Arabidopsis thaliana: one gene and its partners. The protein of the gene in region 4 purifies or fractionates together with the protein of the main gene of each other region. This does not show direct contact. Each region holds a gene or a part of one and is shown on either strand. Other genes may lie near its edges. The genes, in order: AT5G38890, RRP41L, AT2G07110 and RRP45a.

Evidence for each region.
Region 1: the proteins of RRP45a (region 4) and AT5G38890 fractionate together in Arabidopsis thaliana (co-fractionation; one large-scale study listed by BioGRID). This does not show direct contact.
Region 2: the proteins of RRP45a (region 4) and RRP41L fractionate together in Arabidopsis thaliana (co-fractionation; one large-scale study listed by BioGRID). This does not show direct contact.
Region 3: the proteins of RRP45a (region 4) and AT2G07110 fractionate together in Arabidopsis thaliana (co-fractionation; one large-scale study listed by BioGRID). This does not show direct contact.

Annotation. Positions count from the first base shown.
Region 1 is NC_003076.8:15,567,538-15,571,933, reverse strand, and holds AT5G38890 (Nucleic acid-binding, OB-fold-like protein), read right to left. Parts: upstream 2,517-4,396; 5' UTR 2,428-2,516; coding exon 2,275-2,427; intron 2,139-2,274; coding exon 2,064-2,138; intron 1,967-2,063; coding exon 1,878-1,966; intron 1,794-1,877; coding exon 1,709-1,793; intron 1,479-1,708; coding exon 1,397-1,478; intron 1,128-1,396; coding exon 1,036-1,127; 3' UTR 765-1,035; downstream 1-764. Other genes in the region: AT5G38895 (RING/U-box superfamily protein), read right to left, coding at 298-479, 630-659; AUG5 (HAUS augmin-like complex subunit), read left to right, coding at 3,130-3,647, 4,232-4,396.
Region 2 is NC_003075.7:13,737,452-13,742,526, forward strand, and holds RRP41L (3'-5'-exoribonuclease family protein), read left to right. Parts: upstream 1-2,296; 5' UTR 2,297-2,384; exon of another isoform or gene 2,385-2,494; 5' UTR 2,495-2,509; coding exon 2,510-2,648; intron 2,649-2,720; exon of another isoform or gene 2,721-2,779; coding exon of another isoform or gene 2,780-2,792; coding exon 2,793-2,871; intron 2,872-2,964; coding exon 2,965-3,067; intron 3,068-3,140; coding exon 3,141-3,261; intron 3,262-3,418; coding exon 3,419-3,507; coding exon of another isoform or gene 3,508-3,576; exon of another isoform or gene 3,577-3,698; coding exon 3,699-3,848; intron 3,849-4,106; coding exon 4,107-4,196; 3' UTR 4,197-4,447; downstream 4,448-5,075. Other genes in the region: AT4G27480 (Core-2/I-branching beta-1,6-N-acetylglucosaminyltransferase family protein), read right to left, coding at 1-60, 137-212, 293-866. UniProt on the Arabidopsis thaliana protein: Non-catalytic component of the RNA exosome complex which has 3'->5' exoribonuclease activity and participates in a multitude of cellular RNA processing, maturation and degradation events.
Region 3 is NC_003071.7:2,951,758-2,954,957, reverse strand, and holds AT2G07110 (exosome complex exonuclease RRP46-like protein), read left to right. Parts: upstream 1-1,749; coding exon 1,750-1,981; intron 1,982-2,044; coding exon 2,045-2,145; intron 2,146-2,228; coding exon 2,229-2,348; downstream 2,349-3,200. Other genes in the region: AT2G07120 (F-box associated ubiquitination effector family protein), read left to right, coding at 236-310, 367-1,353.
Region 4 is NC_003074.8:4,154,160-4,158,573, forward strand, and holds RRP45a (ribonuclease PH45A), read left to right. Parts: upstream 1-1,894; 5' UTR 1,895-2,047; exon of another isoform or gene 2,048-2,171; 5' UTR 2,172-2,185; coding exon 2,186-2,322; intron 2,323-2,448; coding exon 2,449-2,658; intron 2,659-2,732; coding exon 2,733-2,828; intron 2,829-2,909; coding exon 2,910-3,024; intron 3,025-3,134; coding exon 3,135-3,215; coding exon of another isoform or gene 3,216-3,242; exon of another isoform or gene 3,243-3,305; coding exon 3,306-3,494; coding exon of another isoform or gene 3,495-3,530; exon of another isoform or gene 3,531-3,587; coding exon 3,588-3,683; 3' UTR 3,684-3,805; downstream 3,806-4,414. Other genes in the region: HAC5 (histone acetyltransferase of the CBP family 5), read left to right, coding at 1-114, 219-336; AT3G13000 (ubiquinone biosynthesis protein (Protein of unknown function, DUF547)), read right to left, coding at 4,055-4,375. UniProt on the Arabidopsis thaliana protein: Probable 3'->5' exoribonuclease involved in the regulation of cuticular wax biosynthesis. Can perform exosomal functions and partially complement the yeast rrp45 null mutant.

The DNA of each region.
Region 1 (4,396 bases), on a different chromosome or scaffold from region 4:
TAAGAGAAACATATAACATTTCTAAAACCAAATGAATAACTAAACTTGAATAAGCTAATACACATCACAAAACTATACAATTCGAGCAAAAAAAAACAGTTTTTTTAAGGATTCATTGTTTAATGTACGAGCAAAAGCATCAACCTTTCAGATAAAAAGCATCAATCCGATGAAACCCAAAAACCATCATAAGCTCATCGATCAACATCAGATGATCAGTAATGAATGGTATCAAAATCCAATGATCATCAAAGAAACTTTCAAAGGAAAACAAAAAACAGAGGAATCGATGAGTACCTTTGTGATAGAGACCTGAGAAAATCCAGAAGCAAGAGAAAACCCAGGAATTTTCCGGTATTGACTAATTCTAAAATTGAAGATTTTTCAGGTTCGTCGAAAAAGTGCAAAATGAAGTTTCCTGAATAATAGCGATCCTTTCTCTCTCGTCTTTGTCTTCTTCTACCTTTTGATCCATAAGCCTTTTTGGTCGAAATTTAACCAGGGAAAAACAGAAAGTTTCGTAAATAGTCCCTTTAATTTTACATATATTTAGTTATGACCCCAAACGTTTCGATTATAAAGCTTAAACTTATTCTAATTGTGACCCATACATTTTTGTATACAAAAACCATTTCTTTTCTCGGCAGCACCAAGGGCATACAGATTTACATCTCTTAGGAAGTTTGTTTCTTGATTTTCTGCTAAGTTTTTATACTACCAACTCACCAAGAAATTGCGACAATCGAATGAATTTTTAAGTTGTTCCGAGCTAAGCCTAGCATTTCCACATTGTTGGAGTTATGGATTTATGTTCAAATTCTAACAACAAAATGTCTTTCGAGTTTAAGAAGTTGTAAGTATCCTAATAATAATAGTATCCTGACTATTGTCGAATAAAGGTCAAGTTGGTCTAAAGTTATCTCTACACTTGATAACAAACAACAGAAGAGCTCAAAATTGTAATAATCTCAAATGTCTGTCTTGCTGCAGAGACCACACCTCATTATGTGAGAGAAGCCAAGTGTTGTCTTGAATTCAATTACCCACCTTGGCAACTTTTCTCTGCTCGGTTTGGCCCGACAAGGGGCACTGCATCTCTGTCCAACTTATCGGAACCATTGTTTCGCCTGCACAATCACCAGACCACATAAACATTTCGATTACTCAAACGGAAATTAACTTCGTATAGTATTATAAACTGCCCAAAGAAGCAAATGCATCTACACATTAACATACTCCAAGTCCAGGACGAAAATATTTGTTACTCATAATTCCATAATGAGAACTACAAGTTAGAAATGTATTACAATTTGATATGTGATAGATTAGCTATATAATTAGTAATCTTTGCCCTCATTACCCTTTATTTAGTTTCTAAGAGTAGGAAAAAAATTACCCGCAGCACTTTCAGCTGAGACCACACCAAGTTCATTCTTAGCAGTTGACAAGTAGTAAGCCCGTGCATCACCAAGAGACAGCTTTAAGAGTCCAAGTTAAGGCAACTTCAGATATTATCACCCAAAACATCATCTATTATTATAGACTACACCTACGCTACATTCAAATTAAACTATACAAAGAGATATGTAAGTAAAAAGAGAAAATAAATGGCATAATGTAACAAATCTTAGAATTGTCTCTCCTCTAATAAACAATGTTAACCACTGTACTACTAGACAATAAGTGTGAAACATAAGCGCAAGGATACAACCATAGCTCTAACAATGTCACCAGCATGGAAAGACTGATGCATGTCAACTTTGTCAATCTCTGTTGCTCTAACATCTTGTTGCCTATGAAAGAGCAAACACAAGTTAGATCGACACATAAAAGAACAAACCTTGAAAATAAACACCAAAGGAGGATGAGAAATTCACCTAATTACACCAGCAAAATTTTCACGAACGGCTTTTGAACCAACACACAAGATATCAACAGCAGCCATCTTAGTCATAACTTTAGTCACCTATCACGAATAACAGAGAATAGTGAGTGATGAAATTACTCTCTTTTTTTCCAAGTATGAACATCAATGAATCCAATGAAATAAGTGCAGGACTCACTCTTGCTATGACAACAGAACCAGTCTCTGGAATAGGACCATGTGCCTTGTGACCTGTAACTTCCACAATAGCTCTCTGCTTACCATTTTTATCATCCAATAAGTTATATATCCATAACAATCACAAAAACAAGTATAACAATCCAACGATTTCGATTTCGATTACGAATAGATGTGCCAGAAGAATTAATCACTTGGAACAAAGACGAAACCTGATCAATTGATTCGGGAAGAGGAGAAACAATCCGGCAAGTTCCTGTGAGGGAAGCGTAGATGGTGGCGTCGTTGACGTAAGCTCCTTTTCCAGCTTTAAACTCTGTCGCTTTCCCGATTACATCTCCCGGCGTTACTAGCCCCGTCGTCATTGTTTCAAAATTTTCCGATTTGAGAGTATCAAACAAAACCCTAGGAAGGAACCTCTGGGTTTTAGATTGAGAAAATTAAAACAATTCGGAATCCATCCCTTTAGTGTTATATAAATTCAACTTTGACCCTAAATGTTCTGGTTGTAATTTTAAACTATTCTAATTTTGACCCATAGTGTTTTCTTATTACCCAATTCGACCCGGTTAGACTTAAATACCTTAGTCCGACCCGGATACATCTCATACCCGAGTCCGACGCGGTTATTACCCAGTTTCAACTTTCAACAGTCGACGACACTTGCAGAAAAATTCGAGTTTGATTCCTTTAATTGAAAATCCAATAAACAAGCGGGACCTCGATTTGAAATCTCTTTATCCAGATCCATCTCTCCGTCACAATCTTCCATCTACCGTCACCGGAACCGGCGAGTTAGTCGTCGGGATTCCAGATCTGTTTGTCTACGTCTTCCTTCTGTCTCTGTGTTCATCAGAGTACCAATTCGCTCGATTGTTGCTGCATTTCGCGAATTGTATTAGGTTTATAGCGTCTATGAACTCCTGTTTTCGCTCGATTTGAGTAACCTAGGTATTTCTCTACGTTGATTGTTTGGATTTGAAGAAAAGGCGCAAAGTATGAGTAGAAATTTCGGAAGTTTCATGAAGATTTGAGGGATTGAGTTAGGTATTGTAGTTGTAGAGAGAATGCAGAGTTTATCGAGCTCGGCTCCGACACCGGAGGCGATATTAGAATGGTTACAGAAGGAAATGGGGTACAGGCAATTAGGTCCGTATAATGGATCGAGCAAATCTCATGTTCCTTCTATTGATGCTATAAGGAAGATTTGTAGAGGGAATATGATACCTATATGGAATTTTTTGATAAACCGAGTGAAATCGGAGAAGACAGTGGAGAGAATTAGGCGGAATATTACGGTTCATGGGGGAAGTAGTAATGCTAGCATTGGGAGTTCGGTAAATCCTGGGAAGGAGGAGAGTAAGAGTAAAGGAAGGCGGAAGGATAAGACAGTGACTGGTGAGAGTTCGAGTTATGCGGAGGATAGAGAAGCTGCATTGCAGGAAAGGGAATTAGCTGCAAAGGAAGTGGAGAGATTGAGGAACATAGTGAGGAGGCAAAGAAAAGATTTGAAAGCTAGAATGTTGGAGGTCTCTAGAGAAGAAGCAGAGCGGAAGAGGATGCTTGATGAAAGAGCAAATTACAGGTTTGTTTTGAATCTTTCAATTTTGAATACTGTATTTGGATACATTGCTTCTCACTTGTAAAATAATACAATAGAAATAACCTGCACCACTCAGCTCAGGTTCATTTAATATTTTCTCTTGTTGTTGTTATGCTTTATTATCGTTAGTGTTAAGTCCTCAACAGAACCATTACAAGTATGGTTGCTATGTGTAGTATGGTTAGCTGCTTAGAGTTTTGGTGGTATTTCGATTTCGTTTCTCTATGATTTCAGGAGCCATAGATATATAGCCCTGAAGTATTCTTCTTTCGTTTTGTTGATTCTCCAATGATTTTAATATACCCTAGAATGGAATATATGGGATTTAGTCAGGCTATTTTGTTTCTCTGGTTTCATGGATATGCCACATCGCCCATTCTTAAGATTCTCACTTTTGTATGGCGATATTGATTGTCTTTTTGCCCTCTTCATGAACCTCAATCAACAGCATTTATCTATGTTGAAATGCATTGATTCTGTTCATACAACAAATCAAAATATTTGTTGTAGTTATGTTCAGTAGATCTTTCAAATTGTTTAGTGAGTTTTATTTTTCCTTTTTTCAGACACAAGCAAGCATTGTTGGAAGCGTATGATCAACAATGTGATGAAGCAACAAGAATATTTGCAGAGTATCACAAAAGGCTACAAGTCTATGTTAATCAAGCAAATGATGCACAACGGTCTGTCAATTCATCGAATGAAGTGTTAAGCAGCCTCAGTGCTAACAG
Region 2 (5,075 bases), on a different chromosome or scaffold from region 4:
TCTGACTTCTTTGTGGAGTAAAGCCCCGGGTCTATGATCAGCGGCTTTGCTCGTTTTTCTCTGCGAAAAAACCGCATTTGGATGAAAACAGAACTAAAAATGTCTCAAATGTACTATACAGAGAAATAATCATTACTCTTTCCAGCCTAGTTTGCTACTGTGGTCGATAAAGTTGAGGTTCCGGTCCAGTCCCGAGAATGTATCAATCAGATCTGCAAGCAAGGGGCATTGATAATCCGGGCAGAGATTATTTGAAACGAAGAAAGAGAGACTAGATACATAACTATATTACCATCTTGAGTGACTAGAGGATAATCCGAGGCACTGAGATTGATGAACCAATCCCATTCTTTACTCTGCTTCAAGAGAATAGCGCAAGCGTGGAGCGTGTTAGCCACCATTGTGGGTCCTCGATACGTAACAAGGTTAGCCTTTGTGATCATGTGAACATTTCCAACATCGCTAAAAACAGGATCTTGGCTCACACGTTTAGCCAGCTCAAGCCTCTCTTCAGCAGGAGACTCGAGATCAAGATGAACAACGTACTGATTCCTAGGATGGTATAATGTTCGTAACACTCTCCACAGACTCTCTAAGTCACCTCTTGACCCTGAAACTAGATAACCAAAGCGAGGAAGACTAGGCTGTACTGGAGGAGGATGCGAGGACTGATTGATCTTTGACTCTGCAAATTCGACTCGTGTCTCGTTGGTGGTCGATAGATTGTAGGAGAAGATGAGTGAGTTAATAGAACGGACAGAAGAGAGGAGACCCATGTTGAAGGATGCAGCTATAAGGAATATGAACATGAGAGAAGCCATTGCTAGAGGGAATATCCATCTCTTCTCTGAGTTTGAGGACGCCATTAAAGAGCCTTCTCATATGTGATCGATCTCAAAAACCAATGTTATGTCAACGAAAGAAGCCAACACTTTGATATTGTCGACGCATCAGAGAAGAAAGATCTTCACAAATCGAGGTAGCGCCTAACCTACGCCACAGTTGACACACAATCAGAAATCTATACATGTATTGATGAATATTGAATTCAAACAACGATCAAACACAGTTTCTGATCCTTGATTCCGATCATGCAAAGAGTAAAATAAAAAATTGATACAAGTCGAAAAATTGAAGAGGAAGAAAAACAGAGGATTTGATGAATCGTCGTGATCACAAAGTATGAGTATGAGCCGATCTTGTAATAATAAAAAAGATCGAAAAGAAAAATCTAGAGCTGTCTAAGGATAATGAAACCTACTTTACATGTTCCTATTCGTAAGAAATCAAATAACGTAAAAAAAATACCTGGTTCTTAAAATTTCATGGAGATGACGTGAGAATGTTTAAAGATCCGGGCAGTTCTTAACACAATCCACGAGGTTGTCTTTGTCTGAAACGAAGATTTGTTTAATTAAAGTGTCGGATTACGTACCTTTTTTTTTTTTTCTTTCTTTTCTATAGAAACTAGATAATGAAAGAAAGAAAGAAATCTGAGAGTTATGGTACTAGCCACTGGGCTTCGGTTTTTCCACAGAGATGTTTTCGTTTTAACTCACTTCCCAGAAAGAAACGGTGCCTTCTCCTTTGACTTTTTATCTGAGTCCTTTGATTTTTGATTTGTTGTGAGGTACTGGCGTATTAAATTGCATTAATTTCAATATACAGGCTAAAAAAACATAGGAGTACTTCTTATTCATTATTGGAGGATGTTACTACTGTATACTGGTGTGGACAAAACGTGTGATATGGACCGACGACGTTGATGATTGCATTTCGAATAAAATGAAAATGGAGGAAAGTGGCCTAGTAATGCGGAAAATGCCAAACATCGTATGATCGAGGCATAATGAAACCCATAATAATGTTTTTAAGAGGTGGCATTATGATGATTTAGCTTAATGGTTATGTGTCCTCATTTCAATCTTTGGGTTATACTTAATTTGTATTATTAGTTAATATATGTAAATATGTTTTCCTTAATGGTATTGGATTTATTATTAATGGTATGAATATGTAAAGAAGTATTTAGTGGAAAATATATTTTTCTATATCCCATTCACCTAAATTCCATTAATTGTCAAACATTTAGAGCTATTAGCTATAGTATTTTTATTTGATATCAACAACTCTATTTTTATTTGATTACTACACTTTTCTTTTTAATGTTAAGATTTATACCAAATATTTTAAAATGATTACAAAAGTAAAATCTTCTAGTAAATTGAAACTACGTAAATAAAAATGTTTATTACTTTAGTTACTTAAATATACAATTTCCCCCTTTTTTTTAATTATTTTTTGCTAAACCCTAAAAATCTTTTAACGGCGTTTATCGTTCTTCCACTCTCTCCGCCGCGTTCTCTGTCTCTCAAACCCTCAGGGTAACGATTCTTCTTATTAGACCAACTGTTGCTTCTTTCGCATCGTAGCTCTGAGATTGACCCATTGATTTCTCAACTCTTTCTCAGTAATCAGATTCGATTTTGTTTAGTCTCAGCTCAGAACAATGGCAGCTAAACCTGGAGCCGCAACTCCAACGTATTCACCTAAAATCGTCGGAAGAAGTCGGCTTCCTATATTCAAAGATTCCGACCTCGATTGGTCTCGTCCTGATGGCCGTGGCTTCCACCAATGCCGACCCGCATGTAAAAACACCTTTGATTCCTCTAAATTCTTAATCGTTAGGGTTCTTCATTGTGAAATTACGGTTGGATTCATATGACTCCAGTTATTTGTGAGACTAAACTAGATTTGAATTTTGTTTCTTTTGTGAAAAATGCTTCTTTCAGTACTTCAAACTGGTGCTGTGAGTTCTGCTTCTGGTTCTGCTTATGCTGAGTTTGGGAACACTAAAGTTATTGTTTCAGTGTGAGTATTATTAGATTAGAAAACTTGTATATTCAGGATTTGCATTAACTTTTCTGTCAGCTAAATTCGCTTTTGTGTGTTCAAAAATTTTAGATTTGGGCCAAGGGAGAGTAAGAAAGCAATGGTTTATAGTGATGTAGGTAGATTGAATTGTAATGTTAGCTATACAAATTTTGCTTCCCCTACTCTTGGCCAGGTAATCTCCAAATTTCGCAACATTTGGTGTTAACTTGTTTCATCAAATTTAGTAATACATTGTGGTATTTTAGGGAACTGATCACAAAGAATATTCATCAATGCTTCACAAAGCATTGGAAGGTGTAATAATGATGGAGACGTTTCCAAAAACAACCGTTGATGTTTTTGCATTGGTTCTTGAATCTGGAGGAAGTAAGTCTTAACAATAACTCGACTGCTATCAAAATTATTTTACCAGAATGTGATTGCTTATTGGTTCGCTTGGACATTCGTGGAGTTGATTATGGAAGCAACTTATTGGATTGTTGTTTGGCATTTTCTGATTTTCTCCAATGGTATTGTATTGCAGGTGACCTCTCTGTTTTGATATCATGTGCTAGTCTTGCTTTAGCTGATGCCGGAATTATGATGTATGACCTTATCACAGCTGTTTCAGTGGTATGTGTATGTTACAATAGTTGCATTGATTCCTCTGCGTTATCTCTTATGTTTATTAGCATTAAGTGAAGAAGAAAGTAACACATACATTGACATATACAAGTGCACCATAGTCTGAGACATGTAAAACGTATAGATATCTGTTAATTCTTTATTTTGATACACTGAAATTATGCCTGCAATTTTCGAAGTCTTGCATAGGCAAAAGCCTTATGATAGACCCGGTTACAGAGGAGGAAGGATGTGAAGATGGCAGCTTTATGATGACGTGCATGCCATCTCGTTATGAAATCACTCAGCTAACCATCACTGGTGAATGGACAACACCTAATATCAACGAGGTATGCCTTTCAATAATATCTCTTGTCCTTAATTTGCCGATGACGGTTAGAGACAAAAGGTCTTTCTTTTCTTAGTGTTGAATATTGATGTTATTCAACTGCTTTGTTTGTCTAAATCACATGGATATTGGTTAATTAGACTGTTCTTCATTTTCTTTTTAAGCTGTTCATACCATAGGGTCTATGTTGTTAACATATAATTGTGACATAGGAGCTGTGCAGACATGTTACCAAACATTTGTATTTCAAATATTGCAGGCAATGCAGCTTTGCTTGGATGCTAGTTCAAAACTTGGAGAGATCATGCGTGATTGTCTGAAACAGTCTGCCTCAGCTTCCGATGAATGAGCATAAATAACTATGATTTTGGATTGTAGCTCAGACTTGGTATGAAACCGGTTTTAGCTGTTATAGGTAAACGGATTTAGTCTAAACCTGTGTGTAGTTTAAACCGATGTATGTTTTCACATAAGATTTGATGGAACTAGATCTTTAGCTATGAAATGGATCCCAATTGCGAGTGGTATCAAAGACATACAGAATTTAAAGTAGGGAATTTCAACAAATCAATCACATTGTTCTTTACAATTTCAAAAAACTTGTGGATGATATTAATATCAGATTTTCTAAATTTATACGAAAATGGAATGATATTAAGAATAGTATACAGAAAAATGAAGAAAAGAGTAACTGATTTTTGCATCTTAAAAAAGAAAAAGTCTTCTCTGGTTCACACATCACACAAGTTGGGGGCGGTGATGAAGGAGGGTGTTTAGGTAATATCAGCTAACGTCGGAACTTCAACTGATCATGTAGTACGTACGATACGAAGAAGAAGAATCTAATCCGCATGACATGTGATTATTTTGGTCAGAGAGAGAAGAGAAGACGTGTGTCGCAGCAAAGTGGACAGTTGTGCCCTTATAGCCAAAGAAGACTTCACACGTTTTCAACACCACCTAACAACTGTTTCTTTCTATCTCCCACCTCTTCCCCATTTTTGTCTTTTTATTTCTTCTTCTAGTTTCTCCCAATTTTCTCTTTGATTTTTTTTTGTTTTTTCTTGTCTTCTTGTTAAGATTGATACATGAACTAATAGAGTAACTAGTAAATTCTAAGACCTTTCAGCATTCTTGAAATGACAATTACAAACACACGATAATTTGCGGGAACATGAATGATAGAAGACATTAGAAAAAAAAAACTCCAATGTATAAAAAGTTTATG
Region 3 (3,200 bases), on a different chromosome or scaffold from region 4:
CTTGAGAAATAATTATTCAGTAATTTTATTATTGGAAGATAAATCTCTTTCCTAAATAATTATTAAGAATTATTTGACATTTACTTTTAAGAATTATTTAATATTATCCCCAAAAAAGGGTGTTATTTCATTTTCGTAACAGATAAAAATATTCCTTTTCTTATTTATTTGAGTCGTACACGCGGTGGTATATATATAGATTCTCCTCTAAAGCCACCGAAGTCGGAGAAAGGTAATGGCGTCGGGGAAGCTTCCGTGGGAGTTGGAGGAAGAGATACTGTGTCGGCTTCCACCTGGATCCCTTGTTCGGGTAAGATCCGTATGTAAACACTGAACGATCTTCTCAACGACAAATGGTTCATCAAGAAAAGCTTGGGTTGTGCACGTCCCCAATTTATCATCCTGCCCGAATCCAAGATTTATTCGATAGGAACCATCGGCCTGGACGACTTTGATCCGAAGATAGAGGTGCGTGAGCTAGCCTGTCAATTTCATTTTAAGGCTGAGAAGTGGGCATTTACCAGGATCACGGCTTGCGATGGATTATTGTTTCGTGACTTTTGGAACCAAGGGGTTACCATTTGGAATCCATGGTTAAGACAGGTTGGGTGGATCGAGTATAAGGAGGACAGAGATTTCCGTTTTTGCGGTGTAGGATACGATGCTTGTAAACCCGAAAAGGATTACAAGATCTTTGGGTATTTTAGTCGTTTCTATGACACTACACTGAAAATCGGCCACAGATTTGCGATCTTTGAATGTGCGTCTCAAGCGTTTAAGTTCATTGATTCCCCGGAATGGCCAATGCTGGCAGGTCGAGGTGAATATGTGTCCTTGAATGGAAATTTGTATTGGACTGCTTACAATGAAGATACTCGTGAGCATTTTCTCGGAAGCTTTGATTTCTCCACAGAAATATCCATGCACTTTTGTCTCCTTCCTTGTGGGAAGCATGTTTCTGGCTTACGAGATAAACTTGTCCTCACTGTATTTAAGGGCGATCAGTTTGCATTGTTAAAGCAATCTCGTATATCAAGTAATACAGAGATTTGGGTAACAAATGACATGATTAACTCTAGTAATAATGTGGTGTGGTTAAACTTGATGACACTGTCAATACCTGATTTTCCCTCGCTATTCCATCAGCTTTCTGATATTAGTTACTTCATCCATGACATGACCCTTATCCTGTGCTGTGACGACAATCAAACTGGAGTGGGTTGCATCTTTATTGCGAGGGGAGACTTCTGCAAGAAGATTCAAATAGATTCTGTCTCTCTTGGGTTTTCTCAATGTGTCCATCTTCCAAGTTTGACCTCGGTTCCTTTGGAATTCAGATCACTGCAAGTTTAGAATTTCGATTTTTCGAGTACAAACAGTCTTTGAAATGTGATTCTTTTTTCATGTCTTTTATATTATACTAGATAAATACCCACGTGTAGCGTGGGTTTGTTTTGAAAATTGTGAAGCGTGAGTTTGTTTTGAAAATTGTGAAAAACAATTATTGATTGTTTTTGCTAATTTATGTTTATTTTTTATTCGTTATTATGTAGTTAATTAATAAAACTAAAACTATCTTATGTAGTTACAATTTTTAAGATTATATCTTTTTTTTTTACTTGAAATATAACTCGTGAAAGACTTACTTGTCAGCTGAAACCTCTTGCTTATTCGCGTAATATCCTTCATCGTCCTCATGGCTCTCCTAGTTGGTCAGAAGGTACTTTATCAGCTTTCTCAATATCTATTATGGGTACAAAGTTGTTTTTATCCTTTTTGAATGGGATACATGGAACTCTCTCGTTTATATTTTCAGAGGATACAAAAGTTCTATCTGCGCAATACGGACCTAAAGCAAGAACGAAGAAGAACGAAAATGCTGAGAAGGCTTGTTTGAAGTCATATGGAAGCCTTAAACCGGATAGATTGGTAATCGTAAATGCGTTTAGTTTTTCAGAAAGAGGCTTGTTTTGTCGCTTGAGTATGTAGTACAGGTGATTCTTGGTTTTTAGATGTGAATTTCTTTTGCTTTGAATATTGATAGGAAAAGTTGAAAAAGAGTATGAAACGATACTGAAAAGGACGCTACAGAGTATTTGTGTTTTGAGAGTTGTTCCAAATACCACCACCTCAGTGATTATTCAGGTGAGTAACTATTCAATGTTGTGTATATATATATTGTCAACTTGAGTTGTATCTGATGTTTTCATTTTGTAATTTCTGTGTAGGTTGTACATGATGGTGGTTCTGTATCGTTTTTATGTTCCTTTCACCTTGGTAAACATTTACTAATGCTGTCTGAAACACATATAATCCGGTATAAACAATGTCTGTTTGAGTATTTATAGAGTTTATAGTAGTGAAAGTTTGTAATCCCATAAACTGAGAGTGTGAATATGTTTTTGTGTAACTTCTACCGTGGCCTCCATTCTGGCAGTTAGAAGGTATTAAACGTTTGTTCTAAAGAAATATGATGTACAAAAAGGGAGACTATGAAGGATAGAATTTACGAAGTCGAGAAATTTACCTTGAGATTCTTCTTCTTTCATATTGAACGATCTAGCAGAATAAAAAAAAAAATACAAAACAGTCATACAAAACAGTCTTTCAAATTACTTGTTTTCTTAGCATAAATCTCGAATAGCTTAGATATATTTAATTTGCATATTTATTTAGTTTTTTCATAATAATCATCTAATTTTTAGGCAAGGAATATGTGTATCATGTTTGGATTTTATTTTTTTCTTCAAGATTAGTTTAAAAATTAAATTAGTTTTAAATATTAACTGTTAATTAAAATAGTTAAACTAATGATTTTAGAAATGAGAATTATTTAAAATTTTTAAATGAAAAACTCAAACTTTAAGAAATCATTTCTTAATAATTTCACTATTACTTTTTCATAATTAATTTAAGAGTTAAATTTTACGGCACAAATTTGGCGGAAATCAAGCTAACAACTATCGTTATTCCGATTTTCAATATTTATATCATGTATGTTTAAAATTTAAAAATTTAGATTAATTATTAAATTTTATGAAAGAAAATATGTGTAATTTTTAATTTAATAATAGTTTTTTTGTTTTTTAAGAAACCCGCTTAAAGACCTACCATTGGACGAACAAAAAGTTAAAAGACCAACACAATTCCTTAAACTATAAAATTTTAAATCTTAGTTGGTAGCTCCACCGTCCGCCAAC
Region 4 (4,414 bases):
GCATGGTCTTGTCTGCAAGACCAGAGGTTGCATCGCTTGTAAGAAAATGTGGTCCCTCTTCCGATTGCACTCCCGAAACTGCAGAGATCCCCAATGCAAAGTCCCCAAATGCAGGTATGTAATCTAACTACTTATAAAGCAAATTTTCAATTATCAGAATAGATTTGTTCAAGAAGGTGATGTGTTTAATAATGATCTGACAAGTTTATTTTTTGCAGAGAGTTGAGAGCTCATTTTAGTAGAAAGCAGCAACAGGCAGATTCAAGACGCAGAGCAGCGGTGATGGAGATGGTGCGGCAGAGAGCCGCTGATACAACGGCCTCCACTCCTGAATGATTAACAGACATGTTATATTCTCTGTCTATGGGGTCAAGGGTTCGTGCCTGAAGTAACGATCCAAATGGCAGGCGAATCAAGAAAGAATGAGATATTTTTGGCTGATTAATTTGGAGATTCAAGAAGCTAGTTTAGGAGAGCTCATGGGAAAATGAGCAGATGGGTCTCTTCCACAACTGCTAATTTAGGTTCACAACGAGGTACATAGATATTTTTTCTTACATGTATTCTAAAGTATAGACATGTGTATAAGGGAATTGTGATTTTGATTCAATTTTTGGTGATTCTGTTCATTGAATCCTATTGAATTCGACTACTGAATTTGATCTTAATTTACTTACTCTTTGATTCCTTCGTATTGTATATGTGGTATTTTTGGCAAAGCTATAAGCTAATAAATTCTTGATTTTCAATCATTACATATACTAGACTGGAAATGCAAGTTTTTACTTTATATTCAACTAGAATACTAGAGTTTATCCAGTTGAACGAAACCAAGACCCCGAAGCATTTTGGAGTCATTAGGCAACGAACCCATTATAATGTATATAGAAATGATCTTAGTACGGCGAAAGCCAATGAAATTAACAAAAAATACACTGCCAAACTAAAGTAGTAGAATTCACCTACTAGACATTCCATGGTGAAATGGATCAGACAGTTTGATGAAACTCTGGGAAGCTTCATAAGAGCATTGGTGATCGTCAGGAACCTTTTCTTAACATCCTTGCCTTCACTCAATTCGACATTAACATTGACAGTTTCAAGACGTTTTAAATTTGCCAAGAAATGCCTCATTCGTTTCAGCTCTTCCTCTTATCCCTCTTAGGGGTGCAAACGCAGGCGTCACCACGTTTGTCTGTAACTTCATGCACAAGACCGTGAAAGCAAAAAGAACAAGGCATAAGCAAATTCATGGGAATAATAACTTTAGCAAAGAAACAGAAGTGCGTGGTGATCGAACGAAATAGATGATACCTTGATGACTTAAGTTTCTAGATTTGGAGAGTAGTTAAGGAGAAGTGGCTCCACTTACCAGCCTCTTTCTTTGTTACACTCAAAAGATAAAGTAACGAGGTTGGGAAACACCGGGATTGATTTACAGCACGAGTAAAATACCTGGGATCTATTGTCACAACCAAAACAAACATATACACAAAATGAGACTTTGCTAGCTAGCATGCACTTCAAATAGAATCAACCAATAGAAGAAGAAGACGTAGCAGAGACTGACCTCAAGAGAAACAGCGGACAAGTGAAGGGTTTTAACATTGCTTATCCCTGCAACCAGATTCGTAACATAACCAACAATATCCTCTGTATCACCATCCACATAATAATTAATAGTCATCTGGAAGACGCTCCCATGAGTGTAGCTTCTACAAGGGAACCCAAATCAACCTCATAATCTTCTGCGGGATAACCAGAATAGTCAAGATAGACAAGACTGGGTGTATCAAACAGACGAAAACCCTTGTGACCGTTAGGGTAACGGGGCCAATGATAAGAGCTGGTCAGTCGTTTGATAAGAGAAGGACTAGACACGGTCCCTCCATCAAACAAATATTATTAAAAGGAAAAAAAAAGAGATAAATGAAAATTGGTCCATAAGACAAATACTGAAAAGACGAGGGGTTAAATTGAAATAAATCCCTCCTCTTCTCTGTTCACAAAATCCTCGCGCCACAAAACCCTAGCTGAACGGAAGAAGGTTAGTGGTTTAATCTCCCTCTGGGGAAAGCTGCTTATGTTGATTCTCTAGGCTTTTTTATATTCTGAAAGTTTTGATTTTTTGTATCTTGTTTTGTTTCTCAATCATCAATTTGTGGTAGTAGCTCACTAGCAAACAATGGAGGGGAGGTTGAATAATATGTGGAGGTTGACTGTGAATGAGAGCAAATTCGTTGAATCTGCGTTGCAATCTGAGCTCAGAGTCGATGGTCGTGGCCTTTATGATTACCGCAAGCTTACTATTAAGTTTGGCAAGTGAGTTTTTCTCCTATTCATTGATTATGTTTACCTTTAAAGCTTCAATTTTTGTTGATGCTTTTGATCTCTGGTTTTGCAATGTTGTTACTGATGATTAATTTAATCTGTGTGAGTTTTCGATAGGGAATATGGCAGCTCACAAGTTCAACTGGGTCAGACTCATGTAATGGCTTTTGTGACTGCTCAGCTAGTACAACCTTACAAAGACAGACCTAGTGAAGGCTCCTTCTCTATCTTCACCGAGTTTTCTCCAATGGCTGATCCATCGTTTGAGCCAGGGCATCCTGGTGAATCTGCTGTTGAGCTTGGCCGTATTATAGACCGTGCTCTACGGTAAACCTCTCTTTTTGATTTGATGCTACAAACAAAGTTTTTTGTATTGATGGTCTTTGTGTTGTTGGTTGCAGAGAAAGCCGTGCAGTAGATACAGAGTCGCTTTGTGTTCTAGCCGGAAAGCTGGTTTGGTCTGTTCGCATTGATCTTCACATTTTGGACAATGGAGGGTAGGTCTTCTTCATGTTTATCCAAGGTTCTTGTTGTGAGAATGATCTTTTATGTGTATATTGTTACTCACTCTCTTACAGGAACTTGGTTGATGCTGCTAATGTTGCTGCCTTAGCCGCACTCATGACTTTCAGGAGACCTGATTGCACTGTAGGAGGGGACAACAGTCAAGACGTGATCATACATCCACCCGAAGTTAGTAATTCATATTTTTTTTTTTTCAGTTTAGTTGATGAACTTAATAACTAGAGAGAAGGAAGTTCTCAACTTCAACTGTTTTGTACTATATTTGGTTTCTTTTACAGGAAAGGGAACCACTTCCTTTGATAATACATCATCTCCCAATAGCCTTCACGTTTGGATTTTTTAATAAAGGCAGTATCTTGGTAAAAAAATTGTGTTTTGTTTATTGATAATCTTGTTTACTACGTTTTTGTTTGCATCTGAGATTACAAGTGTGTTGTGTTCTTATGCAGGTGATGGACCCAACTTACGTTGAAGAAGCTGTTATGTGTGGGAGAATGACTGTGACAGTCAATGCCAATGGCGATATATGCGCAATCCAAAAACCAGGAGAAGAAGGCGTGAACCAGAGTGTAATCCTTCATTGCCTGCGTCTTGCTTCTTCAAGAGCTTCTGCAACAACAAAGATAATTAGAGATGCAGTAGGGTTTCGTAATCCGGAGCGTTTTCCTTTTTAGATTGATTTCTATTGATTTAAGGATTTGATTTTGTTGTGCTTTGTTTTCATGGTGTAGGTTGAAGCATACAACCGTGAGAGGAGCTCACAGAAGGTGAAGCGGCATCATACTTTGGCTAAGTCTGAAGTTTTGGGACCTATTGTAGTTGTGTAGGAAGAGACATAAATAAAACATTTGCTGTGGTCGTCGATTGTAAATAAAGATTTTAGTTGTAGAAATCTTATCAGCAACACTAAGCTATAAAAACGTCGATATGATCAAGACATGTTGAGACTTCTCGCACTTAAATAGATGACTAGTCTCAACTCTTCCATTTATGTCTTTCTGAAAGAAAGTTGAAACACAACATATTGAGACTTCTCAGAATTAATATGCATATCCTGAATAACATGTACACTATAAGCCAAAAGCTATGTTGGAATAATAGTAGTAACCATGATCATGAAACAGCCTCCTCTCACTGTTCGTTCTTATGAGGTCGGTTAAAGCTTTTTTTACAACAGAAGAGAGTCTTTGAACTGTTATTACAACGAGGTGTTGTCGTCGGGGAGAAACAGGTATCTGAAACGAGAATCGAAGGGGAGTATTCCGCAGTTCCGTGAAGCGAGAAGGCTTTGTCTTCTCTGAGAGATGCATTGCTCCACAAAAGCAGCTTGATGTGGAGGAAGGTACCTTGATATCCAGACCCCCAAGTTCGAATCCTCCACCAAACTCTTGGCATAACAATGGAGCATTTTGGGTAGTAAGAGCTTCCCTTTGCTGCTCAGCCCTACCGATGCTTGTATGAAGTCCCTTTGTGCTTCTAGCATCTCTTCCTTCACTCCTTTCGCAGAGTAGATCCTCACCTGCAAGACCTCTTCGTGTTAAGAAAATGACTGTTTATG